Linked DNA regions of Schizosaccharomyces pombe. Changing the gene in region 4 together with the main gene of any one other region gives a genetic interaction. Each region holds a gene or a part of one and is shown on either strand. Other genes may lie near its edges.

The links.
Region 1: of rho1 (region 4) and art1, extra expression of one rescues a mutant of the other (dosage rescue), as found in Schizosaccharomyces pombe (2 studies listed by BioGRID).
Region 2: of rho1 (region 4) and sid2, extra expression of one rescues a mutant of the other (dosage rescue), as found in Schizosaccharomyces pombe (2 studies listed by BioGRID).
Region 3: of rho1 (region 4) and rga5, a mutation in one rescues a mutant of the other (synthetic rescue), as found in Schizosaccharomyces pombe (one study listed by BioGRID).

Annotation. Positions count from the first base shown.
Region 1 is NC_003423.3:2,361,630-2,369,253, forward strand, and holds art1 (arrestin-related substrate adaptor for RhoGEF, Art1), read right to left. Parts: upstream 4,185-7,624; 5' UTR 4,102-4,184; coding exon 2,650-4,101; 3' UTR 2,186-2,649; downstream 1-2,185. Other genes in the region: PPR repeat-containing protein Ppr3, read right to left, coding at 1-1,374, 1,457-1,711; SUMO deconjugating enzyme Ulp1, read left to right, coding at 5,488-7,194; pdc2 (topoisomerase II-associated deadenylation-dependent mRNA-decapping factor), read right to left, coding at 7,435-7,561, 7,617-7,624.
Region 2 is NC_003424.3:218,808-227,092, forward strand, and holds sid2 (serine/threonine protein kinase (NDR family) Sid2), read right to left. Parts: upstream 5,147-8,285; 5' UTR 5,046-5,146; coding exon 3,222-5,045; 3' UTR 2,887-3,221; downstream 1-2,886. Other genes in the region: cfh1 (chitin synthase regulatory factor-like Chr3), read right to left, coding at 1-2,648; dnf2 (phospholipid-transporting ATPase), read right to left, coding at 5,589-8,285. UniProt on the Schizosaccharomyces pombe protein: Part of a signaling pathway. Required for initiation of medial ring constriction and septation.
Region 3 is NC_003423.3:2,483,120-2,490,517, reverse strand, and holds rga5 (Rho-type GTPase-activating protein Rga5), read right to left. Parts: upstream 3,984-7,398; 5' UTR 3,712-3,983; coding exon 2,626-3,711; 3' UTR 2,309-2,625; downstream 1-2,308. Other genes in the region: pim1 (RCC1 family Ran GEF), read left to right, coding at 1-295, 471-1,484; SPOM_SPBC557.02C (uncharacterized protein), read left to right, coding at 1,582-2,193; PAK-like kinase Nak1, read left to right, coding at 6,198-6,277, 6,329-6,815, 6,881-7,398. UniProt on the Schizosaccharomyces pombe protein: GTPase-activating protein for Rho1. Has a role in the negative regulation of (1-3)beta-D-glucan synthase activity and cell integrity.
Region 4 is NC_003424.3:4,221,103-4,228,730, reverse strand, and holds rho1 (Rho family GTPase Rho1), read right to left. Parts: upstream 4,661-7,628; 5' UTR 4,552-4,660; coding exon 4,481-4,551; exon of another isoform or gene 4,409-4,480; intron 4,246-4,408; exon of another isoform or gene 4,150-4,245; coding exon 3,612-4,149; 3' UTR 2,907-3,611; downstream 1-2,906. Other genes in the region: ribonucleoside reductase large subunit Cdc22, read right to left, coding at 1-1,414, 1,731-1,749; protein tam6, read left to right, coding at 5,838-6,083; plasma membrane TRP-like calcium ion channel Pkd2, read right to left, coding at 6,598-7,628. UniProt on the Schizosaccharomyces pombe protein: Involved in the regulation of cell wall growth and actin cytoskeleton organization. Activates (1,3)-beta-D-glucan synthase.

The DNA.
Region 1 (7,624 bases), on a different chromosome or scaffold from region 4:
TTGCACGCTTCCACGCTCAAGAAAAATGTTTAAAAAATCAGTTACTAAGCGAGAGTTCAGAGCTTCAGGAAATTTCCTTTTCGCGTATTCAAAAGTATAAATAGCATTGAGGAACAAGTCATTCTCAGTTAAAGTTGATCTTTTAAGGAAAGGTATAAGTGGCTCTTTGGAACTATCTATAATTTTCCTGACCTCCTCTTTAAAGTGAGTGTAATCAGGGGTTACAGAAGAAGTTTGAACTTCAGCTGAAATTAAAGCCCGAAAAATGAAATGAAAAATTTGTTCAACTTTGAGTATCGAGGGCAGTAATTTTTGCCTCACCCAGAAATTATCCAAGATGTCTTTCATATAGTCAAGTTTACCACTATAAGCAATTAAACGTATTAACTCATAAAGTGTAGAATGATTTGGACGTAAACCATAATGCGAAAGATCCTGAAGCAATGAAAAAGCGACTGTTTGAAAACGAACATCGGTAGCTAAAGCATGAATTAAATTATTAATAACGAACGTTGTAGGGGTTAATGGATCAATTGGTCTTAATTTCATCTCATTGTATAAGTCAAGTGCCTTTTCTGGATTATACTGAGAAGAACATATTTGAATCATAAGACCGTATGTTTCAGCCGACGGAGAGATGCTAGTTGCTGTAAATTTCATAAAATTGAAAACTTCCCACGCCTTTGTAAATTCTTTGGTTCGAGAAAATGCCTTGATACAGGCATTTAAGAAATCCTTTGATGGGGTGATTGAGACTGATTTTTGTTCTGAATAGAGTGCAACTAAATCCTTGTGTTTACCAAGGGAAGAAAGTGCAATAGCATATGATTGATACACCAAACCATTCGGAGGAGCATTTGATTTTTGATACAAATGATACAATTGGACAGTCTTACGGAAATCGCCAGATGCGTTGGTGGATTCCATAAGCAAGACAAGCAAATCAGGCATAACTTTCATACCACTTTCTTCAACAGCTTTCCAAATTTCTAGGGAACTTTTTGAAATAACAGTTTGAGGAAGATAGTTAAAAAAGTTGACTATTTCTACAATATCAACCCCTAAAAAGCATTTAGGAATGTTTAAGAGATGGCGAAGATGACTGTTCCATTCTTCGGTAGAAACCTGACGATTTAACAACGTATTGTCATTAGCTAGATTTGAAACAATATGATCGACTGAATAATTATTGCTGGCTGTGTTCTTAGATTTCAATAGCCCGATTCTCGTAAGTAGAAGTGGTCCAATTTTCAATGGAGTTGTTCTCCTCAATTCGTGGTTACCTGTAGATAAATGATTTTCTTTTTCCTTATCATAAGAGTTAACTTCTGATATAAATTTAGTCCAAACTTCATCAGGAATGTTAAGGGGAGACTATGCTAACGTTAGTAAACAAGACAGTATCTTTTAGCAGTGTTATTTTGTACTCAAACCCTTTATTTAATAAATATTTTACCTTTTTGTTTATGTCATTTAGCTTAACATCCTTTAACTTTTGTTCGTATTCACGTATTTTCAGATCTAATTCTTTCTGTGCCAACTTCCAAGATGCCTCATTTGTTGAGCATCTAGCTTGTATATTATTGTTCAGGAGATTTTTAGCAATATTAATGTTATTAGGGTTATCTTTATGATAATGTAAACGTCGGCAAGGACCACAAAATCTTCTAACAGCTAAAAGTGTTAAAGAGCCAGAACATTTGTTTAGCATAAGGTACAGTAGCTTCTGAAATCTCAAAAATTAAAGATGTTTGATCTTTTTTCCTGATAAAGTAGTCAATAATATATAGATATTAATACCTGGATTGAAACGTATATTTTGTGGATGGAAAGTTAAGTGGGTATTAAACGCTTTGATAATGATCTCGTATTTTCATTCCTCAAAAGAAATTTAATTGCTAATATTTTAAACTTTTACTTCTGGTTATACTACTATAAGAATGGATTATACAAACTTAAGGAAGAGGTGTGGAAAAATTTTACTCACAATGAGCTTAATATCTAATAAAATTGTAACTGATTTAAGAGTGTAACCGTATACTGGGCTATTAGATAACAAAATGCAATCGTTATATATATTAAGCCTTACTCAGATTTAAATGCTTACTACATCTTTACTTTCAAAGCCACATACATGAAAGTGGAAACGCCGACATAAGTGCAGCCGATGTGATATTCAAACCACATAAAAAAGGAAAGTAGTACATTATATAAGCAGGTTTAAAGCTGTTTTTATTAAACTAAAACCTACTCTGAATAAAGTGAGATTTAAACTGTTGACACAATTTAAAATAAATAGTCAGTTGTACAAAAAAGCAACCAAATAGTGACCAAAAGTCCCACTTGCTAAATCTAGTGAATAAATAAAACAATGAAGACATATTCAATAGAAATTGATTTGATGTCGAAGAACAGGAATACTTTTTAAAACAAAACAAAAACAAGAAGACCATTATTTTTACTCATAGCTTTTGAAACCAAACAAAAAAACGAGGGACAAATAAATAAACAAAGTGGGTATTTAATTGCAAACCAAAGGCTTGCAAATATCGAAAAACACAGGGAAATACAGAGGTAAGGCTTATGATCAACAATATCGGGATTTACATTTGTAGTAAAGCACAGATTGAGCTTGAAAAATGTAACTTCCTAAGATAACAGGACAATGTCATCATTCAAATAAGCAAACATATTATTTTTGGAAAAATCTGAAGCTCGCACAATCCTAACGTTTTCTTCGAGGACAACGCCTCCGTGGCTTTGGCGAACGTCAAGGACTCGGGTTTGAATTTCATTAAGTAAGGCTTGACTTCGTGATCGTTCCACTGGGGAAACAATAATTGGGTTTGTTATTTCAATGTTTCTAGCACGATATAATTGTACTTTGATGACTAGCATGTATTGTACAGAGTAAAGATCAGAGGTGGTCGTGAATCCAGTGATATTTGCATCTTCAAAATCAATGTCGGGGAAAGGTTTAGAAAGGCTTTTCGATAAACCTTCCGATGTAAGTTTCATATCATCCAAATCTTCTTCGTAACGTAATACTTTCTTTTTACGAACTATTGGGCTTGAAGAAGAGGGATGTATGAACGTGATGTATTCAACCAAGGAAAGAGAAAGTTGCTGTACTCGTATTTTAGAACCATTATTAGGCATGATGGAAACGAAGACGGAGACGAGATCCGAAGGTCCAATACACAGTTTGGGTATTGATACCTCTACTACAACACGACCATCGCTACTCACTTGCCGAATATTAGTAGGGGAATTATACATCCCCCAAGAAGATAGATTATCATACCTGCTGAGTGACACTGGTACAGTGGTAGTAATATCCGGTACCCCTAGTAAACTCATGTGAGCACGTAGTTCATATTTCGTGGAGCATATTGTACCAGACCGATTCAATTCAAAAGTCGATGGAATTTCTGAATTTTCGGGAAACGGGATTTCAAAGGGAAGGTCCATTGACCATACCCTATGAGTAGCGTAAGGATCTGAAGAAGAAGAGAGTATAGGAGTTTGGTCACCAAAAGGAGTGATAGATGTGTCATTAGAGGAAGATGTGGTGGATACTGATCTAAACGGAGTGTAAGGAGGTTGATATACCGAAGATCCAGAGGCATTAGGAAGATGAGGTGGAGGGATAGGTGGAGTAGTACGGTTATGAGTATGAACAGAAGGATTATCCTGATCAGACGCATAAGAATCTACTATCCAATCGCTAGTAAGGGAGGGTGGAGGTGATTTGATAGACAAATCGCTGATAGAATAATTATTATCATTAGGAGGTATGTTATTTTCAGGATGCTCGGAATGAAGTGGAAACAAAACCTGCCTTGCCAGACACTTATTATCTGATAAGTGATTACTTATACCCAAGGATGGTATTACCACTGATTCAATTTTCCATAATTCTAACGTTATTTGAACCAAAGCCAAAGGTTGGTGAATTTCTTTACTTCGAACTTGGACGATACCAACCAACCTTGGAGCTGAAGTTGGTATCCCATTAAATCCAGCTTGGAAATCCAAATGTGGTAACGGACGTATCTCCAAAGGAGAAAATTGCCGTATTAGCGTACACGGGGATGTCATGCTCTTACATTTAGTGAGTTCCTCTGGCTTGGTGCTGGTTATGGGAAGTTGAATCTACCAAATGGTAGACAGGTTGGTTCAGTGCAGCAATGTCAGATCTAGATAGCTAAATAAAATCTTTTAAGCACTCGCTTAAACACTGCTAAGTGACTTTTTATAGCAATGAAATTAATAATATTTTATTATATAAAAATCTAATTTTAGGCCAAAAAATGTACTTTTGTTTCCATTCCATAGAATTAAAATCAAAAGCCTACAATTGATAGCCAAGCATCTAAAGCTAGTATCTGTTGTAAAAAAGTTCCATTTTGATTACAATAGTAAAAACTAAAATGACTTTAATAGCCTAATTTTGAAATTGGTATTTTCAACTTAAAATTCACTTACGAAAGCCTAAAATATGTTTATTCTTACAGCAGAAGGCTTTTTTTTTGAATTTTTGAATTTTTGAAACCATAACACACGATTGATCGCAACATACATATACGAAATATAGAAGAGAGACTGAATTCAAACGAAAACAATATAGCAAGATATCAGATTATTGAGCAGCAGAAGAAAGGGAAATAAAGCAAGTAAATACTATTTTACTAAAAATCAAACGAATCTCTAAAAGAACAGATATTTCACGCATAGTTAACAGACAATGCATAACAAAAAATTCAAAATCGAGAAAAACAAGAATCAAGAGCAACTGGTAATGCTAATTTTTGATAGTTATATGAGCCGTAGTATGATAAAAAACCCCGGCGATAATTGAGGAAATTCATTGCTGATGTACGACTCTTTTCTATCTAGGAAATAATGATTGTTTGAAGGATAACCTGAATATAGGGCTTTCTGTTCATTCAAAGATCCCTTCAGGAAGTGTTAAATGGTTTGTATAAAACTAACTCACATTTTCCGATTTATCTTTTCATTTTCAGGGCATATATCAGAACTTAAAACAATTTACTAGTAGCGATACGCTACCACTTACTTATTAAACGCTTAAAAGAGTAACACAGTGTACTGTCATGAATGTATATTTTATAAAAGCAATATGATATTTAATTTACATTAATATACTTGTAAGCTTCTCACGGCTAAAAGTAGTGATAGCCCACATTGAAGTAGGATTTTAGTGTAATGAAATCAAACACAGTAGGCCCTAAAGATAAACGGACACTTACATGTTAAGCAACATAATTTAAAATCTTACAAGCAAAGCTAGCGGCTCGAAAGCCAAACATTGTAATATAAACACAAAAAGTAGTTTGTTTACAGTAAATACCGCAATACTCGTATAACGAGGTATTTTCACAACGTAAGCAAGAACGCGCTCATCCTTCCAGGTTGTTGTGTGTCACAGCCTCTCGCGATTCACCCTTTACAATTCACTCGTGAATGATAGGAAAACGCAATGCGTCAAAAAGGACGCGTCAGGATGATTGTATTACATATGAAGAGTATCAAAGGAAACGTAAAAAGACATTTTTGAACACGTTTGTTAATATTTGTTCTCGTACAGTTACTTATGCAAAACTTTTTTTGACAAAAACTCCCATTTCTGAATTGGATCGCATCGCTGGCGAGGCGATACCATCTAATAGTAATAGTACAAATTCAAAACTAGAGCCTTCTACTAAAGCCCCTGAATCTCGGTTTTCTCACATAAATTCCAAGACTGAACGTGGTTACGTGACGGTCGAATCTGATATGTCTTCTCACAATACTCTTGACAGAAATAGTAAACCTACCGTTTCTCATTCATATACAAATTCTAGTAAGGATGAAAAATTTTTGGATCCCATTGCTCTTCAAAATCTATTTTCCCCTGCCTCTGACACGCATTCTCAAAACATCCATGACGAAGCATTATCTCCATCAAGCTTTCGTGTGTCTCGTTCGAGATACTTCCCCCGACCTCATCGGTCTTCCAAAAATTTATCTGTTAGTAATCGGTTACAGCTTGCGGTTTTTAAGGAAACAACTTCATCGACATTATCCCACGGTAATTCCGTTGAGGCTGACGAAATAAACTCTTTTAATCCTACACCTTTCTCTTCTTCTCCTCTGCACTTTACGAACTCCTCTCCAAATCCAAACTCTGACATTGTTACACCGGACAAGCAGCTAGATGTTGTTAGCGAACACGCCAGATATAAACACCTTCCTTTTACGGCTACGTTAAGAAAGAAAAGTCCTCATGATTCAACGTCTCGGAAAGCCTCTTTTAGGTTCGTTCAATCTGATCAGCAACCAGCGCGGAATATCGTTACTTCTGATATCCAAAATGAAAAATCATTACTGTTGCTAATTCGAGATTTGAAAGAAAAGCAAACAGAATCTTTTCAAGATTGGAACGAAGTTGACTTTTTACAATTAAAAGGTTTGGAAATATCTCCACCCCCCACTCGCCCCAAGTTCATTCCGGAACTTGAGTTTCCTGATAATGCTCGAAAGCGTGCACTGAAATATTTAAACCAAAGCAATTCTGTTTCCTCTTCTGAACCCATCATCACCAAATTTAATATTCCAATCACGCTTAAAGACTTGCATACTCTGCGGAATAGACAATGGTTAAATGACGAGGTAATTAATTTTTACATGAATTTGATTTCGGAACGCTCTAAAATTGATTCATCCTTACCTCGGGTACATGGGTTTAATACTTTTTTTTATACATCTTTGCAGCGCCGTGGATACGCGGGTGTTCGAAGATGGGCCAAAAAGGCACGCGTTAATATTGCAGATATGGATGCTGTATTTATACCAGTACATCTGGATGTCCACTGGTGTATGGCTGTTATTAACAAATCGAAGAAACGATTTGAATACTGGGACTCGCTGGCCGGAAGCCCTGGTAAAGTTTTTGATTTGTTGCGCGACTATTATATTGCAGAAACAAAAGGTGCCGTCGACGTGTCAGATTGGGAAAATTTTATGGATGACAATTCTCCAAGACAACGAAATGGACATGATTGTGGAGTTTTTGCTTGTAAAACTGCTGAATGTGTATCTAGAAATGTTCCTGTTCAGTTTAGTCAAAATGATATGCCTGAACTACGAATCAAAATGGCAGCTAGTATTATTGATGCACAAATCTATTAAATATGTGCTATAAACTTTTTGTCTATATACTTATCGTTTTTTATATTAATTTCTTTCTCGTTCAATACATTTTATTTCATATTCAGCGTTTTCAAAAAGGACATAATTTACTTAAATCTATATTAGAGCGTATGCATTTTTTAAGTAGCAGGGAATACTCTAATTAATAAATCTGAATCCAGGAATCTCAGCAAATATAGCTTTTGAAAAAAAAAATACCCGCATATCTTATAAACAAACTTAAGCGCTGAGCTGACGAGCGTCGAGCCCCATTGCATTTAAAAACAAATTAACATTGCTGATGCGCACAACAGCAATTTCAGAAGGTGCCCGTTTGCTAGTAATGATGTTATCAAGTACTCTGTCCCTATTTTTTACATATTTGTTAGTACAAAAACTCGACTAGACATATTTTAACGTACCTAGTTTC
Region 2 (8,285 bases), 4.0 Mb from region 4:
TCAGCAGCAACACCAATGCCTTGTTCCATCATAAAGCCAACAGCATACTGAGCTTTAGCCAAACCTTTGCAAGCCGCTTTATGCGCCCAAAGTAAAGCTTCTTCTCCATTCTTAGGCAAAATACCCTCTGAACCCGTTAAATACCAACCGGAAAGTCCTAGTTCTGCCTCGCCATAGTCTTGTTCGGCAGCACGCGTGTACCAAAAAATACTGCGTCGAGGTTCTGCTAAACACCCTAATAAACCGTGTTCATAGCACTCCCCAAGTTTACACTGGGCGGCAGCGTAGCCATAGACAGCTGATTGTTTGTAAAGTTCAAACTTTCTTTCAGGGGTTGCAGATACTCCGTAACGATCCGGTTGCTCATAAATCTTTGCAAGTTCATACATAGCTCTAACTGATTCGGGCCCCTTAGACTTACATGCACGTTCGAGCCATTGCACACCGAGAGATATATTGCGTTTTTGCCCTAACAAACCATTTAAGTAAATCAGAGCGATACGAAACATAGCTTCGACTACATCCATTTCAGCTGCCTTTTTATAGATGGCAACGCACTTACTAGTGTCCGGCTTAACCCCGGTACCAGTTTGAAGACAAACAGCAACTCTGTAATTACTCAAAGGATGTCCTTTTTTAGCTGCAAGGCTGTACAACTCAAATGCTTTTCCCAAATCGCGTCTAAATCCTAATACCCCCTGACTGTGAAATTGTCCTATTAAAAACAGAGCTTCGGGTACAGTATTCTGGGTTTTGCTAGGATAAGCATTCTTTTTTAAAAGTTCAACAGCTCTGGTTCGATAAACATTGATTCGAGTATTATAACTAGCCTGGTCGGGAGCTAAGCTCGGCTTGTTTTCTAAAGTTTCTAATGCATTCAAATAAACTTTTGCCAACTCAACTTCGTCATCAGGTGTGATTTGAGATTTTTGGCGAAGACGCTGTTCTTCTTGCATAGCGTCTCCGTGCGTCACAATTTTTGGTGACGGAATCATCAACTTATCATCAGGATGACAAGGAATCGCATCCTTCGTCTTTTCTTTTGCTTCTGCACCCACTTCAAAAATAGCGGGTGAAGAAGCATTACTGTTAGACATCATAGATATATTCCTTTCAAACTTGGAATTAGCAACCTTGGATGATACATTAGCAACCGATGTATTTTTGTGATTACCAATAGACTTATTACTTTGCTGTGGAATAGGGGAAAACGAAGGTGTCACAGCTAAGTTATGTGAAATCGGTGTGCTATCAGCACGCATTATCGGGGAAGAAACAGAAGGGAGAGGACGAATGTCAGAAACTAACCCATGGGTTGTGTGTACCGGAGGAATTGGCGATAAAGGACTTGTTTGACCGTGTATAGAAGTAGGCATTGGTTTAATTGCCTTAGGACGTGCAAGGTTTGTAGGATATGAAGGTAAATTATTAACAGTTGGGTTTGTGCGATTATTATCATAACCTTCGGGAGAGTTATTATTCGAGTTCCTCGAAACATTTCTACGATCAAATGTAGGAGCAGGAACCTCAACTGGAGAACGAGCTGGTAGCATTACCATTTGAGAATGTGGATAACGAGGTGGTTGTTGAAGTGTAAGCAAATCATCATTTCGAGGATTTTTCAAAGTTTCGGATGATTTTAAGTCATTAGAAACTGAAGGAAGCGAACGTTCATCGCTTTCTAACCCGAATGAATCTGTATTCGAGTCGGTTGATGAAAAGTGACTTTTTGAAGGGAGGTGTCCAGAGTTTTCATAAACTGGTCCCAAATGACGATGAGCAGGTTCTGCATCTGACGAAGCATTAGAAACTGTATTTGTGATGGAGTCACTTTCTGCTCCATCTTCTTCCTCCAAAGTTTCTATTCGAGAGTTACTCTTAAGCTGATTGTCTTCAAGTACAGTATCGTCATCCTTGTAATAGTTATCTAAGAAGTCATCAAACCCACCGTATGGTATGTAACTCATACGACGCTGTACACGACTTATAGAATTAACACGTGGAGGTGCCATATATTTTCTATGAGGATCCGGTTGTCCAATCTCATCCTTTCCATCATCTAAATTGGTCATTGGCGTTGGTCGCGGAATAGAAACCAAAAAATCTTCTTTCTGCTCATGATTTATTTGTATTGGGGCATCTTGCCGATCCAACTTTAAACTAGGTGAAGGCAAAATAGGAGAAGCCTGTCTCAAATTAGTGTTCAGCTTTAACCCACGGTTAACTACACGTTTGCTTGTAGGAGCAGGTGCAGCTGGAATTTTATACTGTGGCTGTGGCTCCGGCTTGACCGGTATGGTTGCACGCGGCAATTTGTCTTTGAAGGTATCTTCACTAACAACAGGCCGGGATATTTTTTTCTTGGAGAATTTCAATGCTGAAGGTGGAGTACCCATTGTAGCGCTCATTATACTAGCCCTGTTCGCGTCAATCCTTGAAGACAGGTCCAAAACATTCGTATACACTGGTTCATGGCTCAATGTCGGATATCTCGATGTAGGACGAAATTGAAGAGTAGGGGAGGATGAAGAAGCTGTGTTACCGCTTTTTAAAAAAGCTGGGGTACCCTCTGTTCTTTTTCCATTATTCGTTGCGAATACCAACTTTTCCTTCTCATACTTCCTCCGAGAGCTATGTGAATCTTTCATTAACAGATTAATTTACGAGTGAAATAAAGAGCAAAAGGTAGACGCTTTAGGAGGAAAGCAGTAAGAAACGAGGATAATGAGGTATCGCAGTTTGATGAATGTTACAGCTCTTCTGCTGTTGCCAACAAAACGAATATCTTACAGCTCACTAAACAACAAATAATACACGAAAACAAAAATTTTCCAAAATAGTAAAAATGGTTCAAGATATTAAATTGCAGATAGTGTCTATTTCCCTATCAAGTAAATGATTTACATAATTTATCTGGTAATTGCAAGTTCTTCTATATAAATGGCGAAAGCTGAATATTGACGAATAAAATAGTGGAAGATAAATAAAAATATAATATAATATAATGAAAAAGGATACTTCCAAATAAACATCATAAAATTAAAGTGATAACTTTCGCAAATTGTAATGTAAATGCCGTTCGAAAGTGAAATGCAATAGTAAAAGACAGTACTGTAAATGTCAAAACATCAAAAGCGAAGCTCAGTATCTTCGAAAATAGTTAATAACAGTAGATGTCTTATAAAAATACCATGAACAAGGGTCATTAAATTTCCCTTTGATTATAATAGAGTCCCGAAAGAAGGAGCAGAGAGGGGACTAGATAATGCGCTACTAGAGCTAGTAGGATGACTATTTTTTTGATGCCTAAAAGTGAAGCCGATAAAAGCATTGCGTTTAGGCTTATTAAATGTGTTAACCATATTAGCAATTGCAGCTTGTTTCTCATGAACTTCCTTATATTTAGACATATCATTTTCATTAGTGAAATCATCAAAATATCCTGCGTCAATCTCAGAATTAAGGTCGGGTACAAACGGAGGACGATATGCTGTACGAACATTTTTCCAATCAATCTTTGAGAAGTAAGGATGTTGCATGACTTGCTTAAGAGAACAAAAGCGATCCTTGGGATCAGTAATGCAGTGACATACAAAATCCCATGCATCATCTCTCCAGTTGAATTCCAAATCGCGGGGATCATCATAGTGAGGGCGTTGAAAACACTTGCGCCAATTCTTCAAGTTAGACCAGGTTTCATTAACATTGGAGCCAGAAAATGGAGGAAAACCAGAAAGACATTCATACATGATGCAGCCAAGAGACCAATAGTCTACAGAGTGGTTGTAGTTTTCACCTCGTAAAACCTCTGGGGCCATATAATCAGGAGAGCCAACTACTGAATGAGCGTATACAGGATCCTGAGATAAAAGAGTTCGAAACACTTGTCGCCTTTCCCTCATGCTCCTTTCGGGAACAACGACATTGTTGACTTCTTGAAGACGAATCTTCATACTTTCAATCTTCTTTTTGCTGATTATTCCAGAACTTAAACCAAAGTCCGTCAATTTAATATGGCCGCTAGCTCCAACCAAAAAGTTTTCTGGCTTAAGGTCACGATGGATGTAACCAAGTTGATGCAAAGCATCAATAGCTAGGAACATTTCTGTAGCATAAAACTTGGCATGATGATCCCTTAAAACACCACTGTTGCTAAGCAAAGTACGGAAATCACCACCAGGAACAAATTCCATAGCGAGATAAATGTTTGAAGTATCCTGAAAAGCATAAAGTAGACGAACTAACCATTCCGAGTTGGCTGTCGTAAGGATATCACGCTCAGTAAGAACATGCCTGATCTCATCCATTTTATGCAAAACCGATTTATTCATGATTTTCAAAGCAACAATCTCTTTGGTGTCACGCTTCCTAGCCAACCAAACAGAGCCATATCCACCTTGTCCGACTTGAGTGATGGTCTGGAAATCTCCGTGACTAATGCGTGTCCTCCTTTTCCTTAGATATACTCGTTCACGTCCATTGTATCGCTTCACTAGCTCGTCTCTTCGTGAATCAGGCTCTTTAAGCAACTGCTCTTCAAAAAGACGGGCTCTTTGCTTGCGGGTATAAAGATAATGAAGCTGCTCAAAGTAATGGTCTAAAAAGAACATTTGACAAATGGTTGCCATTCTCTTTACCTTAGGTTGGACCACTTTCTCCATTTCTTCAACTGACAAGTTCATAGATCCATTTTCCCATCTTGGTGAACCCGTTGAACTTCTATCTGACCAATGATTATTATCCTTGTAGCTCAACTCGCCAGATCTATCAAGACCACGCGGAATAGGGCTTGCAATCGGTAACTTACTAATGTGTTTTGAATGCATATGATTGTCAGGATAATTTTCCTTCGAAGATGCCACTGGGGAAAGCTTCATACTATTAAATTGATCCTCCAAATTCCTTTCTTTATCATTATTCGACAAGTTGCCGGGTTCAAAAAGACCATGTCGCTTCATATATGCATCAAATTTCTTATCTGCTTCAGAACTTAGCTGAAGTCCTAAATCACCTTCAACTGGTGACATATCATTAACACGATTCATTATTAGTTTTCTTTAAATATGTATCGTAAACATCCAACGTTTTGGTCCCCAAAAAATGCAAAACTCCTGTCAATAATAACCTTACGTGTTTTGTTTACGGCAGAGTACATTTCCATCGGAGTTAGGTATCAGCCATTTACCCTTAGCAACCAAAGTTTGATTACAGCAGTCGCTGGAAATTTCAAAACTTAAAAAACCAACCACCAAATTTACTACTTAGAACAAGATTGTTAAAAAGTCTGTTTTTATTATTTATCATACAAATGTAAACTAGATATAGTAAATTTATCTCGTTATTTTTAAAATGTACTGTGAATGCAAAATACATTTTAAATTTGATGCAATCTTTTGATTTCAGAAGAAAAATGTAAACGTTCATGTATTTTATTTAGTATGCAGAGATGTTTCTATAACATCATAATCATTATTCGATAATTCATCATTCTTTAGTATGAAAAGTTATGTTCTTAAGCATAGCGTAGAAATAGAATGGGTACACAGATTATCTTGATTAGATAATTCAGCTTATTAACTTGCCATTTTTTAAGGCCGTAACGGCTGTTCAGAAGAAGAAATGGAACCACGATGAGGCATGTATTCGCCTCTGTTAAGTATTTCATCAGAGAACACAGGAGAGCCCTCCAAGAAACTTGGAGTATATGACGGGGTAAAGCTTCTTGGCATACTTGATGTGAGTGTAAGCGAATTTGTGTCCAAACGTAAAGGTTCTTTCTTGGGTGTCGCCAAACTTGACGAAGATGCGTTGAAAGGGACCTGTAAAGTAGAAGATGCCCAATCTGGAGATTGTTCGGCATTCTCAATCTCCTCTTCTTCATCCAATTCATGAAGGCGTTTAGTGCGGTAACTTTCGCGAATGATATCCACATCATATGGCCAAAATAACTTTTGCGTTGTCATAAACAAAAACTTCGGGAAAAGACAACTTACAATCGTTCCACATAAAACAGCCCAAAAATTTGGAGTTCTGAATATACGCGAAGCAGATTTATAAAATTCATATGTATAAAGGCTTTGAGAGTAGACGCCAGTCCAAAACCAAAATGTCAAACAACTGAGCGCCCATAAACCAATTGAAAACACATCCCAATTTGATTGATTCAGAATAACATACGTGTCGACAACCATAATAGTTGGCGCAGCAACGTAAACACCTAAATCTTGTACAGCCATAGTATCACGACCATTCTGAGCAGCTGTGGTCACATTGTTAATCACAAGAAAAGAGAAAAAGAAACAGATTACAGACTGATAAAACCCATCAAGCATATATCCAATAAAGATTTTCCTGGCTGAATTTAATTGCAAAATACCACGCTTGTAAAGCTGAGGGATCCGAAGCGACAAATCAGCATTAACATCTTGATCATAGACACCCATGACAATGACAGGTAACGATGAAAAAATCAAGTTAAACAGCATAACATAAGTATAATCGAAAAGGTAATTTGCGTCGAAATTGTTGTAAATCTGATACCAGAATAAAGTAAATGTCCATACAACACTCTTGTAGAAAAAGTTGTTTACCATTTCAGCAACACGATTATAATCCCAACGGCCATGAACAAGAACCAGCTTGCTCAAAAATCGGAATTGACCGATTGCATAATCCGCAGACATAGCTGCAGCACGGCCTTCTTCACCAACAATACCAACACCAATATCAGCTTTTTGAATCATTGCAACATCATTCGCACCATCTCCAATGGCTAACGTCATTACTTCAAGGCTTTCGCGTACCAATTGAACAACATCTGCTTTTTGAGCCGGACTAACACGGCAACACAAGACAGCCTTGCATCTTTTACAAAGTAGCAGAAACTTGGTTCTCATTGGACCATCTAAAACTCGTTTAAGTACTGATCCATCAATAACTAACGCATGAGAGCCAGAGGGAGTGTCATGATCCTTCTTAGCAGCTTCAAGTTCTTCAACTGATCCAGACAAACCAAAATAACGATATAAGTAGTCAGCTAAAATAACTTCCAACTCTGGTGTTGACACTTCTTGGTCCACATCAAACTTAATCATGTCCATGCCAGCGTCCAATAAATTGCAAGAAAAACCAATATTAATAGCAGTCTCCATTTTGTCTCCGGTCAGAACCCACAATTTGATACCGGCTTGAGCCAATAATGCAATTGAATCAGGTACTCCTTCTTGTAATCGATCCTCAATAGCTGTTCCACCGAGCAAAGTAAGATGAGATTCAATCAAATCGGCAACTTCCTCTATTTGCTCCTCACGGTTTTCAATTGCAGATGCGGCGATGTCATACTTTTCTTTCCATTCGTAATATTCCTCTTCAGTAAGCTCTCTTTTTGCGATACAAAGTGTTCGTAAACCTTCCAATGCAAAAATTCTGAGATGCTCAGAAGTGGTTTTACGTAATTCAACTTGTTCATTTGGTTCCAAACGTTCGAAAATAATGCTATCAGCACCTTTGCAAATAAGCACATAACGGTTATCGGGTCCTTTAACGATCACACTCATTCTCTTCCTCGCTGAGCTGAATTCAATAGTATCCATCAATTTGAATCTTTGGGTTTCTCCAAGAGCACGAGTAACCATAATGTCTCTCCGCTGGTCCAAAAAAACAAAGCCAACGTCGCGGGCGGTACCCACGAGTGCAGCTTCATCTGGCGATTGTGCTTTATAGACAATCCGGTCACCAACTCTGTCTGCAACTACGCTATGACAAAGGGCCAATGCCAAGAAAAACTCATAGCATGCAAGTGACTGTTCTTCACCAGCTTTGCCAGCAAGGTCATGAACAAACTGCGACGAGATGAACGTGAGGTTATCATCCACAAGGTATTTGTTGTCGTGCATATTTCGCATTTGAGAAATCATTTGCATTCGGTCACGTTCAATGAAACTTTGCTTTTGAAGAGTCAATTCTTCAGTATCCTTTCCCTCGCGTTTTGCCATTCCCGCCATTGCTTCGGTAAATGCCTCACCATACGCAACTCCGTTGATCGTACATTTTTTAAATTCCATAACATTTTGAGTAAGAGTACCTGTTTTATCAGAAAAGATATATTCCACTTGTCCAAGATCGTCAGAAATATTCCAAGATTTTGGAGTACAAGCATACTTTAGCTTCTTATAATACATGTCTTTGTCGAAATATATAAAAATTGCCTGGATGGTCTTAACGATTTCAATTGAAATATAAAGCGAAATGGGCACCAAGTTTTGAAAAAGAATAACACCAGTGAA
Region 3 (7,398 bases), on a different chromosome or scaffold from region 4:
TACAGATAAAGTAGGAGTAGTCGATTTGGCTGTTGGCGGCATGCATTCTGCAGCCCTTTCTCATGACGGTCGCGTATACACCTGGGGAGTTAATGATGACTATGCCCTTGGTCGTCTTACTAAGGATCAAAAGGATGAGAATGGAGACAAAGTTGACAATGATTTACTAGAGGGAACTCCTTCTAAGGTCGAAGGTGCTTTATCTCATCTACGCGTTACAAAAGTTATATGTAGCGACAATCTCACTGCAGCAATAACGGACAATGGCTGCTGCTTTACTTGGGGTACTTTCCGTGTAAGTAATTTGTTTTGGCCGTGAAAAATTATCATTTGATCTTTGATTCCAAATTCAGGTGCTGTTATCGTTGCAGTGTTGTTTATAGTCTATTGACTCATTGTATCATTTCCCTTCGCCCTTTTGGAACAAATGGCTTTATAAATTTATCATTTTTCGTTTGCTAACATACTAGTGTTCCGATGGTGTATTAGGGTATAGCGATTCTCAAAAACGTACAGCTGAACCGACGCAGATGCGACTTCCCGAAATTTGTCAATTAGCTACAGGGACGGACCATATTATTGCCTTGACTACCACAGGAAAAGTATATACATGGGGTAATGGTCAACAGTTTCAACTGGGTAGACGTATGTTAGAACGTCGTCGACTTCAAGGCTTGACTCCTCAACCGTTAGCTTTAAAAAATATTATTTCAGTTGGAGCAGGATCGTATCATTCTTTTGCGATTGACAACAAAGGACGCGTTTATGCTTGGGGCTTAAATATAACCAGACAATGTGGAATAGAGGTAGAAGATGAAGAAGAAGGCGCCGTTATTACAAAGCCTACACTCGTTGATGCTTTAGAAGGATATAATGTTAAGTCTATTACAGGTGGTGAACATCATACCCTAGCCTTACTTGAAGATGGGAGAGTGTTAGCCTGGGGTCGAGATGATCGTCATCAATTAGGAATTCCGGATAATGCACTTCCAGAAACAGTAGTTAAAGATGAAAAGGGAAACAATTACTACTTGTCAACCCCTACTATAATCCCAGGACTTACTAATGTTATACAGGTCGTGTGTGGTACCCATCACAACTTGGCTGTTACCTCAGATGGTAAGGTTTATTCATGGGGATCTGCTGAAAACTACGAGGTTGGTCAAGGTGATAATGATGAAGATGTAGCTGTTCCTACATTAGTTCGTTCCAAGGCAATCAAGGAAGTGGCGATCCGTGTAGCGGGTGCAGGTGGTCAATTTTCCATCATTGCTGGTATTCCCAACGCTTCCGAAGAGCCAGTTGCAAATGGCATAAAAAGCGAACCCGAAAATGAAAAAAAATTAAAAACCGAAGAAACTTCCAAAACGGATGACTCTCCCGTTACTGATGCAAAGCCCGATGTCACCTCTAACGGCGAACCATCTACCGCTACATCTGAATCTAAGGATTCTGTTCTCGAACCCAGCTCCACCACTGCTTAGTACTTAATTTCTCAATTTCTTTTAACTATTTTTGGGCTAGATAAATTATTTTGAATATCAATGTGTTTGATGCATACAAAATTCATGAGTTTTCCAAATGGATAAAAAAATCGCAGATTTGCTTCAAGAGCTTCAAAGCTCCTCCAACGTAACGAGTAATCAGCTTGAAAATGTAGACAAATCATCCATCCCTCTATCGAAGGCTCGGAAACCCTCTGATTTTGAGTTGAACAATTCTATAGAGGACGCAGAAAAAATTAAAACCTATCCCGCTGCCTTGAGGTACATCTTTGCCCTAAATTCCCGCCATCCCGAAAAGTTACAAAAATTAAGAAAGATGAAGGCTATGCAGGAACGTCAAGAGCGCAACTGGTCTCTGGAACGGCAGCGGCTAGTTCAACATTTTGAGTCGAAAACTAAGCTTCAAGAAATACTGAAACCGCTTTCCTCCGACCCTAAATTGAAACAACCGTCCAATTGTCTTAATGACCAGACCAACAATGATTCCGCTCAAACTTTAGATGACAATAGGGCTTTACAAGAATTTGATGAACAAGTGGTACAATTGACAAACAGGATGTACAAAGAACAGCTTGCAATCCTTGCAGACCTGAAGATACCATTGTTTTTGTCAGTGAATAATGATGAAGAGTTATCTGAAGATCAGAAGCGCCTCTTACAATTGTTACAGGATCTCCTTGGAGCCTAATAAAGTATAGATTGATAAATCCTTTCTGGTTACAATGTCGTTGTTGTTTTCATAAAAGTTTCTTTGTACAGATATATGGACACCAAATTAATAAAAATTTAAAATTACGAAAGTAGCTGAAAGCTGTCAGATAAATTTACTATGTAGATAAATATATTGATCTACCAAAACAAAAAACAATTACAAAAAACAATAACGAATTGGATAATTTGTTCTTACTATGGTTAAGTAGAACTTCTAAAATGAAAATGGCTGAATACAAAGAAAAAAACATAAAACGACAGTAGCGGTATCCAGCCTAAATGCAAATCCCAATAAAACTAAAAGAGCGGACGGTAACAACTAAGTATATATGTACAAAAAGATTCTTCGCCATACAACCAAGGACAAAGACAATTAAACTAGATAAACAGAGAAAAACAATTAAAAGTATTACATACGATTTTCCCTCCGGCGATCAAGTGTATGGAAAAGCTTCATAGATGAGCTTCTAGACAATGAATACGAACGAGATTTGATTCTTGGGGGTGAACCAGGATCCACCTCGGAGCTTTTCATGTTTGAAAAATTTGAACTCGGACTATTGGAATAAGTGGCACTAGAATGACGACTAAAAGAGCGCCAACGCTTAATGGATCCATTTCTTGGATTAAAAGAATTAATCCTAATGGATGTCGAGGCTATAGGAGTAGGTGCAGCAGATTGCGTAATTAAAGTAGAAGAAGTATTTGGAGAAGTAGGCGCAGCTACCAGAGGAGGTAGTGAAGACAAAGGAATGGTTTTGATAAAGCTTCCTTGATGATTGATAAGGAACAAAAGAGCCGTTTGCGATATTTGATAATCTTTTGAGTAAACCTCGTGATCAGGATGAGATAGAATTCCAGGTTGGAAAATAGCAGCCAAATTATCAGCAGTCATCAGGTTCTTCGACGAGTTCATCGCAAAAACGGAAAGTAAGTCCAGTAAATAAAGTAAAAGCTGGCGATTTGGAATCGGTAATTCATCAATGCGTCGACGATACATTTCCACTCGCTCATTGTCTGTAAGATTGGGAATTGTCATGGGTTCACGAAACCTTTCATAATACTCCAAAGGAATCACATGCTCTGGCATTAGATTGATGAATCTCCGAAAAACATTGGCAGCATCATGAACTGTGTATCCTTCCCAATCAAAACTTCGGCCATAATCCGGGCCTGTACTGAAAGCTTTTTGGAGAATTTGGATTCGTTTGGAAGAACCATTAACGCGAAAAATTCCCTTTACTTGGGTAGCATTTTGTTTAAGAAAAAACCCGCACTTAGCAACGACAGCGGGAATGTAGCCATAAAATACTTTCTCACCGTCTCGGCGTGTCAGAAAGATAGCGACCTTCGATACTTCCAAAGCCCTTGTAAGGCTCAGACCAAACAATTTATTGTCATCTGACTTTTTAACCCGCAATTGCTTCCACCAGCTAGCGAATGATGACTTTTTCCCCATATCGTCAATCTGTAGGACTCCTACGACAACAGTCATGAACAATGGCTATTGTAATAAAAATTGAAAAACTTAACAAATGAAAACAATAAAAAAAAGAATTCAATGAGGAAAATGAGATAACAGACAAAAGATTTAAACCCAAATACAATGAAAGAATTGTAGATGTGTAAAAAAAAAGTAACCGATAAATTGACACTCTTTAAAATTGAATAACAATTCTGTTCAACTCAAATAACACTGTTCTCCACTAGATGGGTAAACTTAACTTAATAAATTGCGCTTTTAGAATTATTTGTTGTATTGTGTACAAAGCAGGTTCACACTACGGGGTTGGTAAGTACTAGTTAGCTATTGCAAGGTGGGTGTCGCAGTTTCACAGCCGGTACTTCCGAGGATGCTCGGGGAAGGCAAATCCTCTAATAAAATACCAAACTACTCGCTTGGTTACTAATTTAAAGGAATTTATAAGTCGTTCAAGCGAGCAACTCGTAAAGAGAGAGGCTTAGCATTGTCCTGTACGCATTAGCGTGCCAATATCGTATACTGACCTTTGGATGATGGAATGATTTTACCATACGATTCGATACATTCCTTAACACTTCGGAGAAAACAAACATTCTGCTTGCGATAGCGAAGATTTTGCAATTTTACGATCATGGCACATTAGCGTTAGTGTCAGTAGGAAGTGTGCTGATACCACCCATCCCAGATTAGCAGTGCAAAGTGGGCTCATTAAAGGACGAGTTGAAAGTCATGTTCCTAGGAAATATTTGAATTGCGAATTCTTACAAGTCAAACTGACGAGTTTTGACAATGAAGAATGCCCTCCCCTTGGTTGTTGGTATACTGTTTTTATTGATAAATAAAAGTACCATGTCTCTCTGTACATACAACTACGATTTTCGATATACAGGAATGTTTAGATAATTAATCTTTTAAGAGAAATTCTTTTAGTAATGCAAATTTCTATGATTGTATAATATGCTTGAAACTGTGATTTGTCTGGGGTTTTCTTTTTTGTTATATTTTTATTATGTACAACGACTCTTGTTCACCCAGGTCGAAGAGCTAAGGGTCGCTCATTTCTATATTTCTTTCAAGTTTCCTTTTTTTGCTTAATACATTATCATTTGATTGTTGCGATTGATTGTTACAATCGATCGCTCGCACCGATAATCTCAATTAAGCTCAGCGTGTTGACTTACTTTATCTAACCTTTAAAATAGGTCATCGCTACAAAAATTAGTAAACGAAAGAATAAAGAAAATACAAATCCTTCAATTGATTTCTCGTTTTACTCCCTTTTTACTCGGCAATGTAATAATAAATTAATAATATACATTACATTATTTTTATTTACTACACTTTTAAAATAGCGATGTGGGTATTGGACGCATCAAATCAATTCATTGAATTGAAAGTCTGTAAATACCGGGATTTGTCATCCCATCAAACAAAACTAAGCTGCCCTCAAGAAATTGTACAAAAATTTAAAATTTCTTTGACTAGCTCCTATTATGCGATTGTTTCGTCGAATATTTTATATGATCGGTTCGAAACGATAGCCATGCAAGATGAGCAGCAACAGTAATGCTCGTTAAATTAACTAAAAAGCAACTTATTACAAACCAATTGGTAATTTCATAAAAAAAATGAAATGGTTTGGAGAACAGTGTACAAGCTAATGGATAGCATACTAAACGTAACACACCAGACAACCATGCATACTCGGATTTACATAATCAACTTAGTATCTTTATCTTAAGATACAAATTAGTATTTTACGCAAATTCTCAAAAATCGACCGAGTAAATAAGTAATGTCATCTCATTTTATTATTTACTACGAAAATCAGCATATTTGTAAGGTGAGAAGCTTTCAGCTCTTAAGCTTAGATAGTGGAAATTTTGCAATCCGTAAAATGTAGATTGTGAGAAGGATCTTATATGATTGTATGCATTATGTAAAGTTGGTTTACGAATATGGGCTTTAAATATCCTTGGATATAAACAAGACATTGGGTACTACTATAACTGTATAAATTGTTTACAATTTGAACTGAGGAACAAAAATTCGGTCGATTTATTTTAAAGGATTTTAGTCTTAAAGATAATTACTCTCAAAGAACGGATATATATCCGCTGCGGAACGGAAATATAAATAACTACAGATTATATACTGATTAACGACATAGCGTAGTAGAAAAATACAGATAAGATATCGTTAGTTTTACGTTACGCTAAACTCGATAAGATATTCTCATTTCTCCTGCTAAATTTGCTGTATTTTTCCTCGCAAAGCTTCGGTATTGAAAAAAAATAGTATAATAAGTTGTTTGTTATTTAGGGATTGCACAAATTGAGTATTATAGTAAACAGTTTTTCAATATATATCTACTCAATTCCTTCGTACCCGCTACCACCAGCAGTATAGAAAAAGTGAAAGGGAATTGAAGGAGTTTGAATTGAACCTGTTCAATTAAAATTCTTCATGTATCTGCTAAGCAGCTAAAGTTATTAGAAATGGAAAATAACACTGCTTCTTCGCCGTACACAAAATTAGAATTGGTGGGACGCGGTTCGTACGGCGCAGTCTATAGAGGGTATGAATATTATTCGAGTGATTCTTTTCTACATTTTCTAACATTCTAAAGAATTTGCAATTTAACGAAAGAGACTGTTGCCATCAAGATTCTTAATTTGGATACCGATGAGGATGAAGTCTCTGATATTCAGAAAGAAGTCGCTGTTCTTAGTGAATTGAAACAGTCCGATGTCGAAAACATTATAAAGTATCATGGCTCTTATTTGGTAGGTACTAATTTATGGATTATAATGGATTATTGTCATGGAGGTAGCGTGCGTACTTTGATGGAGGCTGGTCCCATTAGTGAACCATGCATATCTTTGATCCTTAGAGAGACCTTACAGGCATTAAAATTTATTCATCATGCAGGTATCATCCATCGTGATATAAAAGCTGCCAACATCCTAGTTTCCATGTCTGGAAATGTCAAGCTATGTGACTTTGGCGTTGCTGCCGAACTAAACATCAATCGCCGAAAGCGAATCACGTTTATTGGAACGCCTTATTGGATGGCACCAGAAGTTATTCGAGATGGTCAGGAATATAATGTTATGGTATGTTTCGTTGCTGATTACTTATAGCCCTTTACCTATTCCACAAAATTATTAACAAAGTTTAGGCTGACATTTGGTCGCTCGGAATCACTGCATATGAAATTGCTACTGGATCTCCACCTCATGCCAAAGAGGATCCTTTTCGTGCCGTTTACCTAATCGCTCACACCGCACCCCCTAGACTCAATGGAAATTTTAGTGCTCTTTTAAAAGAATTCATTGCCTCTTGTTTGCAGGATGTCCCTCAGAGGAGATTAGATTCTTCCGAACTTTTGAAATCAAAATTTATCAAACAATATTCTCGCATGTCTATTTCTGAACTTACCAATGTTGTAAAACGCTATGACACTTGGCAGGCTGCTGGCGGCATACCCCAAACGCTACTCTTGGGTGAAGAAGCCGATGATGGAAGCGACCCTGATCAGGAAACCTCCGACACCGCTGCTTCTGATGATGGTTGGGAATTTGGCACTATTAAACAAGGTCAAAGTAACGTTTCATCCATCACTGGCACTTCCACCTCCACTACTACCGCTGCTACTTCCTCCACTACTGTAACTGGAACTGTAATTCCAAAATCTTC
Region 4 (7,628 bases):
TTGTTGAGGTTACGAGTAACGACCTTCACGACATCGTGAAGCTTTTGGAAATTGTACTTTCCGTCTTTAATAAATGTGGGCAAAGCAACTGAAGCAAGGTTACAAACAGCAACTTCGTCAGGAGAAGAGTATTCAACAATCTCAGTACACAGGTTTGAGCAGCGAATAGTACCAACATTCTTCTGATTGGACTTACGGTTGCATGAATCCTTATACAACATGAAAGGATTACCAGTTTCAACTTGTGATTGAAGAATGGCGTACCAAACTTTTTGAGCAGGTAATGAACGACGACCACGGTTCTCCTTCTCATACTTTTCGTAGAGGGCAACAAACTCGTCACCCCAAACATCTGCCAAACCTGGAGCCTCATTGGGGCAGAAGAAGGTCCATTGCTCGTTACGTTCAACACGTTGCATAAACAAGTCAGGAATCCACAAGGCATAGAACATTTCGCGTGCGCGGAAATCCTCGTTGCCATGAGTCTTTCGAAGTTCTAAAAAGTCCATAACATCGGCATGCCAAGGCTCCAAATAGGCTGCAAAGGCACCAGGACGCTTATTACCTCCTTGGTCAACATAACGAGCTGTGTTGTTGTAAACACGAATCATGGGGACAATTCCGTTGGAAGTACCATTAGTTCCAGCAATATACGAACCGGTTGCTCTAATGTTGTGAATATTAATACCAATACCGCCAGCGGTCTTGGAGATCATAGCACACATCTTGAGTGTGTCGTAGATTCCTTCAATAGAGTCGTCTTTCATCGTAACGAGGAAACAAGAAGAGAGTTGGGGACGAGGAGTACCGGCATTGAAAAGAGTTGGTGAAGCATGGGTAAAGTAGCGTTGAGACATCAAATTGTATGTTTCAATAGCAGCTTCAATGTCCTCACCGTGGATACCAACGGCGACACGCATAATCATATGCTGAGGGCGCTCAGCAACTTTGCCGTCGATACGCAATAAATAAGAACGCTCTAAAGTCTTGAAGCCAAAGAAATTGTAAGTGAAATCACGATCGTATATGATAGCACTATCTAATTCGTCCTTGTGTTTCATTACGATATCGTAGATTTTGTCAGAGATCATGGGGGCAGGCTTGTCTGTTTTGGGATTTACATAGTCATGAAGCTGTTGAACGACAGTTGAAAACACCTTCTCGGTTTGCTTATGCAAGTTGGAAACAGCAATTCTAGCAGCCAAAATAGCATAATCAGGATGCTTTGTAGTCATAGTCGCGGCAGTTTCAGCAGCTAAATTATCCAATTCAATAGTGGTAACACCGGGATACACACCAGAAATGACTTTTTGAGTGATTTCGACGGGATCAACATGATCGGAATCAAGGCCATAACAAAGCCTCGAAACACGAGCAGTGATTTTGTCAAAGGCCACTTTCTCTTGACGTCCGTCTATACAGTTAGTACATTATTGCTTTTCGATTCAATGTCAACAGTCAGTCAATTTTGAATACAACGCCACCAGCAACGAATCTGTCAGCAATCAACCGAACACTTGGAAGTAGAGCAAACGGCTAAAAGAACATTTGCTTAAACATCTCTGCACACAACAAACAGTGAATACTGAATGACACGCTTAAACAAATAGAAAAATCTCAGTTTCTTTAAACATTTACTCCCCAGTAAAATCACGACATTTTTCGAAACGGCAACGTTGTAACAAAATTTCTACTAATCTTCTAACTGTATTTTATTTCCTGTTTCATACCTCTTTTGTATACAAACATCGTGTTTGTTCTAGTTTGTAAGGTGGTAAATACCGGGAATATTTATAGTAAATGAAAAACGCGTTCAGACGCGTCACGCTAATATAACGTGATGCCGCGTCGCGTCATCCGAACTTTAAGTCATGTTGATCAATGTAAATAAATAAAGCTAAGAGTGGAAACCGGATCATTTTTGTAGCTCTACTATATCTAAAAGACGTTAATTAAGACTTGCTAAATAGATTTATCTTTTTCACTTCTGAACATCAAAGTTCCGCTAAAATAAGTCCGACTTTTAAAAATTAAAAAAATATTTTTTTAAAAAAACGCGATTAAACATGTTGAAGTGGTCTGACCTGATACAATACATTCAACTGTTACATTTATCTTTTATTAAACATAAAAAAAGTGTTTATAAATACTCTGTTTACGACTGAATGTAATAAATTAAATATTTATTTACGCGTCTCAATTGCAACGCGACGCGACTGTTTACATAAATTAAACACGCGGTCCAACCCGACTACCAACCTGCTCTATGAGATTGAACTACTAATTTCTCTAATATATCTAGATATCAATTTCCCCTTGTTCTTTATATTACTTTTTGATGTTGTCAATTACCTGTTGGAGAAGATCATAACATACAATTGATAAAGTATTGTTTCCTTGATTTATAAATTGTAAAGCTAAGTTGAGTTAGCTTTTTTGTTAAGACCTCTCAACTTTTAGATTTAAGATTTTGATTCCCATTTCTGTTGTAATATGTAACCTTACTAATGCTTTACATTAAAGCATGAAGATTTCGACTCTGCATTTTACTTATAAGCACTATAAAAGGTACACATAGAGATAGACAAACAGCTTTTAGTAGCTACAAAAACTTTGTTCTTTTCCCTTTAATTCACTATTTGCTCCCTCGCAATTATCCTTTTTTTTAGGTAAAGTCAACAATGCTTATATCTTCATCTGATAATCTTGCCTGTAGACAGAGTGAAAATCAAATGGTAATACAAATGCATAGATAGAATAACAACGGTCACCTTCAAAACATGAAATTGCAAACATTGGTATGCTTGACGTAAAGAGAATGAGATATAAACAGTGTGCAAATTTCCGCAAAATACAAAATGTTTAAACCATCAACTACGGCTATCTGCTACTTCGACTATCAACGTGTATAAAAATACCAAGCGCCTGTATACCAGCAAGGTTATCAACAGAGATAATGTCGCTTCAATTTTCTACAATAATTCTAGTGCAAAATTGGAGACCCAGCTAAAGTTCCACGATAATAAGCAATTACGTGCTGTGAGAAAGCTTATAAAATATTCGGGTTTTGATCGAGTTTCAATCGAGGTGTATATTCTTTAAATTACCGATTTATAAAAATTTACCAAGTCCTTTGACTAGGTAGAAAGGATAATAATGATGGCAATCCTTAACAAAAGAAACAAGGTATTATAGGAAAAATAAAACCATGCAATAACAAGGCAATAAGGGAAATTTTCTTCAAACTAATAGCGAAGAGTATAGCAAAGTAAGCAAAGACTGAAAACAAGACGCATACTCCTTGCAGGTGCCTATACGTTGCAGAACAGTGAGGGGAAATGGTAGAACAGCTATATGAAATGCGCTTAAATCATTGCCAAGCTGACTAAATGGCACGACTTGAGGTAAGTAAAAAGGAAAGAATGAGAGGATATAATGACTATGTAACATGATAGGCCACACAATGCAAAACTCCCACCAAGGTGAAGGTGAAATAAAAATCAACATAAGTCGAAAAAATACGGAAACTTGTTGAATGTGCTTCGACTGAAGAGATGTATAAAAACAGAAAAGATAAATTCTCTAAGTTAAAAAATTTGGAAACAAGCTGTTTACAACAAGATACAACGCTTCTTCTTCTTAGTTCCACTAGAGGGCTTCACTTTGGGCTTGTGTTTGAGCATAGCAGCACGAGTGGCTGATTCAAAAACCTCACGAACACCTTCATTCGTCTTGGCAGAACACTCAAGGTATTTGTAAGCACCAATCTTCTGAGCTACTGCTTGACCTTCTTCTGTGGTGACGGGATGCTGATTAGTCTTGGATAACTCCTCAATAATTTTTGGGTCGTTACGGAGATCAGCCTTGCAAGCGACAAGCAAAATAGGAAGACTGGAACAGAAATGGAGAACCTCGGAAATCCATTTTTCTTGAACATTGTCAAGAGAATCGGGAGAATCAACAGCAAAGCAAATAAGGATAACATGTGAGTCAGGATATGACAAGGGACGTAGACGGTCGTAATCTTCTTGTCCAGCCGTATCCCAAAGAGCCAACTCAACGTGGCGTCCATCAACCTCAACATCAGCTACATAATTTTCAAAAACAGTGGGAACATAGACCTCGGGAAAGGTTCCTTTAGAAAATACACTATAAAGAAAAATGTTAGAAGTTGTATAACAATGACACAGACTCGTGAAACATTGCAGATAAGCAAGCAAAGAGTAAGTAGAAATACAGGGTACGGAGTGCAAATTAAATCCTCGGAACATTTATTAAATGTAATCTAAACCCCATCTAAGTCTCATTTCTATGGGGATTCTTTCATTATTTTCTTGAGGCAATGAACATGCTTACGGAAATAATTTTCTTCTCCAGCCATGCTAAGCAAGAGATGTAAACCCTTGCCAATTTAAAACAGGCCCAAGCAACTACTTTACCCTTCTACTACCTTTCCGACGCTTGCACCATTTTTACTTACATTAATAAGCATGTTTTACCACATGCACCATCTCCCACAATAACGAGCTTTCTGCGAAGTTCTGTCGCCATCCCTAGATTTGTTTACTTTCTCCTGCTCTAGACAGAAAAATTTCGACGTAAATAAACGTTTTTCGACTCAAATTCTGACACCGCTCTTTCCTTCGATGTGGCAGTGGTTAGCTATTTACTAGGCTGTCAGCGGCTCATGTAACAACGAAAGGAAAGAAGGAGACGCTACTACACTTCACTAAATCTCGTTACTTTGCCCTAGCGCTCTTATAGATGAACCCTTTGAGTATGTATGGACGAGGCTGAGCCTGTACAGAGTGTAAAGTGCAATTAAAACAGTTTTATTACAAAAAGATTGTCTCCACTCCGACTTGATGTCAACAGACGTTTTTTTGTTTGAATCACAAACGCCAAAAAAAGCAGAAACCAGCGGAAAAATTTCGTTAACGTATTCAGTTTAGTCATAATATTCGAAGATAACGGAACGCATTTAATCCGCTTATCCTATTTTAACGTACACACTTTATTTCAGTATTTTATAAATAATAAACATAGCAGGAATATAGAAACTTTTGGAAGAGACATAAAGAAGCAAAGCTTCGTATAAATAGCTATAATTATAATTGTATACTCATAAAATTAAACAGCATTCTATTTGTAAAATGCAAATGTGAGATGAATTCCTAAATTCAAAAAGCGGCAATTTTTGGTGCCGAAAAATAATTTTACATGTCAGATTGAAGTAATAAAGCAATATTACGATGCTCTTTCTTTCTATCGTCGTTTTGTTTGCTCTCTTATTTCTCGAGATCAATAAAATCCTACTTTAATTTTACTAAAATTATATCGCCCAAAAAAATATTGATCCGGTAGCAGATCTACAAATATACAAAAATGAAATGTAACTTTAGCCTCTTTTATTCTTCTTCATAGTTAAAATAAAACAGACGGTTTCAGTAGATCTATAACTTAGCTCTTAACTCACTACTTTGTCTCTTTTAACTTTTGCCATTGATTCATTTCAGTACTGGAGAACATAAGACCAATATATTAAACAGTTTGAACAGCGCGCCCTATAGATTTCCCACAAATTGAAAGAGAAAAAAGTCCTGAGTCGTTATTATTGAACATCTATCAAATTGGATACCGTATTATTGATCGCTGACATTTCATTTTGTAGTTGACAAGAAAAGAAAAAGCGGGTTGAGTAAACTTTACCTTTTAGTGCTTTAATCTTGTTTATAAAGTGAAAGTGGTTGAAAGCTGTGTGGCCTCTTAATTATACACATATATATTTACGCGGTTACTTTTTTTTTATAGTTTATAAATTAAACTGATAGCTTTCGATGATGCCATCATCAAGTTTCCAACAAACTCCCAAACCCGTCGATTTAGACGATCCAAGGTTTGAACAGTACGATTGCTTGCCATGCCGCTTGGTGGGCGCAGGCGCTTTCACAGGTCTAGGAATATATGCCTATTCGCAATCTAGAATTCCTTTGAATACACCCAATTACAAGCTTAAACGATTCGGTATTTTGGGAATGGCTTATGGATTTATTCTTACCGGTGTCTATAGATTGTTTCAATAAAATGTTAATAAACGTCGTTTTCTATTATCAGTTATCTTAAGACGTGAAGAAGTAACTTGAATCAGAAGTAAATGTTTTTTACTAAATTGCATTTTAATCAAACGGGTGAAGTTTTTTTGCTTTCTGATGCACATCCAACAAATATGCTTAAATGGTAACTAAACCTATACACTATAACAATTATGGAATAAAAGAAAAGAAGCAGAAATGAAGGGAAAATTCTGAAATATAATTAAAAAAAGAACCATAAATAAAAAAAAGGATGCGAATACACTAAATAGTTGACTTTTGTCTAAAAATAAGATTTAGACATTGATTGCTTATTGAACCTCCTCGTCGAGTTCATTGTAAGAATGCTTGTGTGAATTGTTTTAAAGGTCTTTTACCCCAAACTTTGTAGAAAATTATAGTTTAAAAAAATCTCAGAGACAACAATTGTATAATAATGAAAGAATGTGTAAGGTAGATGGAATGTAATATATATGTAATACGACACAACATTTTCCATCCACGTTTAACGAAAAGCATTGTTAGGTAATGGTTTGCGTCGACGTTCAGCGTTGTTATTATTTTCAGAGATGCGGGTATAATCTGATTCCATAAATGGTTGTTCGACGTCAGTATTTCCACGAAGGTTGGCATACGAAGCTTCTTCGATAGCGTCCCAAGGGGAAACATATTTGTTATTTGTGAACGTACTGTCTGAATCATTACGATTCGAAAACGGATATTCTGGTGTATTAAGGTCAACGGAGCTTCTCAACGTAGTTCCAGAGTAAGCCGGATCAGAGAAGGCCATGTCGGAAGAGCTCATATCCTTAATAGATTTGTTATACGAGGTAGCCTTCTCGCTTTGGTCATCGAGGATACGGTAATAAGTACCATGTCCTGATTTACGGAACAGGACGATAAGTGTACGTATAAATATACCCAGGATCAAAAGAAGCATTGTAATAGCGTTCAATGCAAAAAATATAATGCCAATAACTTGACGAGCTAATTCCTCCACATAAAAAGCTTGACACATCACTAAAATAAAAGAACCACTTATCAAATTCATTAAAGCAACACCGATATGCAAAGTATTCATGTGTTTAGTGGCATAAGGTCGGAGAATCACCATAAGAGCAAAAACGACAACGCTAATACCAAACATGGCACAGCCCTGGACTTTGGGTGAGCCCTGACCAAAACCGATGAACATTGAGCGTACCAAGGTTATAAGCAACAGTGGGAAAGTAAAGTAAAAGAAACGGACGTCTAATTGCACGTACATAAAGCCCCAACGCATCAAGTGTTGAGTGTCAGAATATAGGTTGTACAAGACGTCAGGATGGGAATAAGGTCCTGTTTTGCGGATAATTTGAATTGTCCGCACAAATGCATAGCAGAGCAAAACTGCCATGTCCACAATCACGTACATTGATAAAAATGCCAAAGCGGAAGAATCACGAGTATAGATTTCCCACATGGACAAAACACTCATTTGAGTGAATCCGACAAAAATCACACGATAGAAAAATCCTTTGGATATAGATTTCCAAT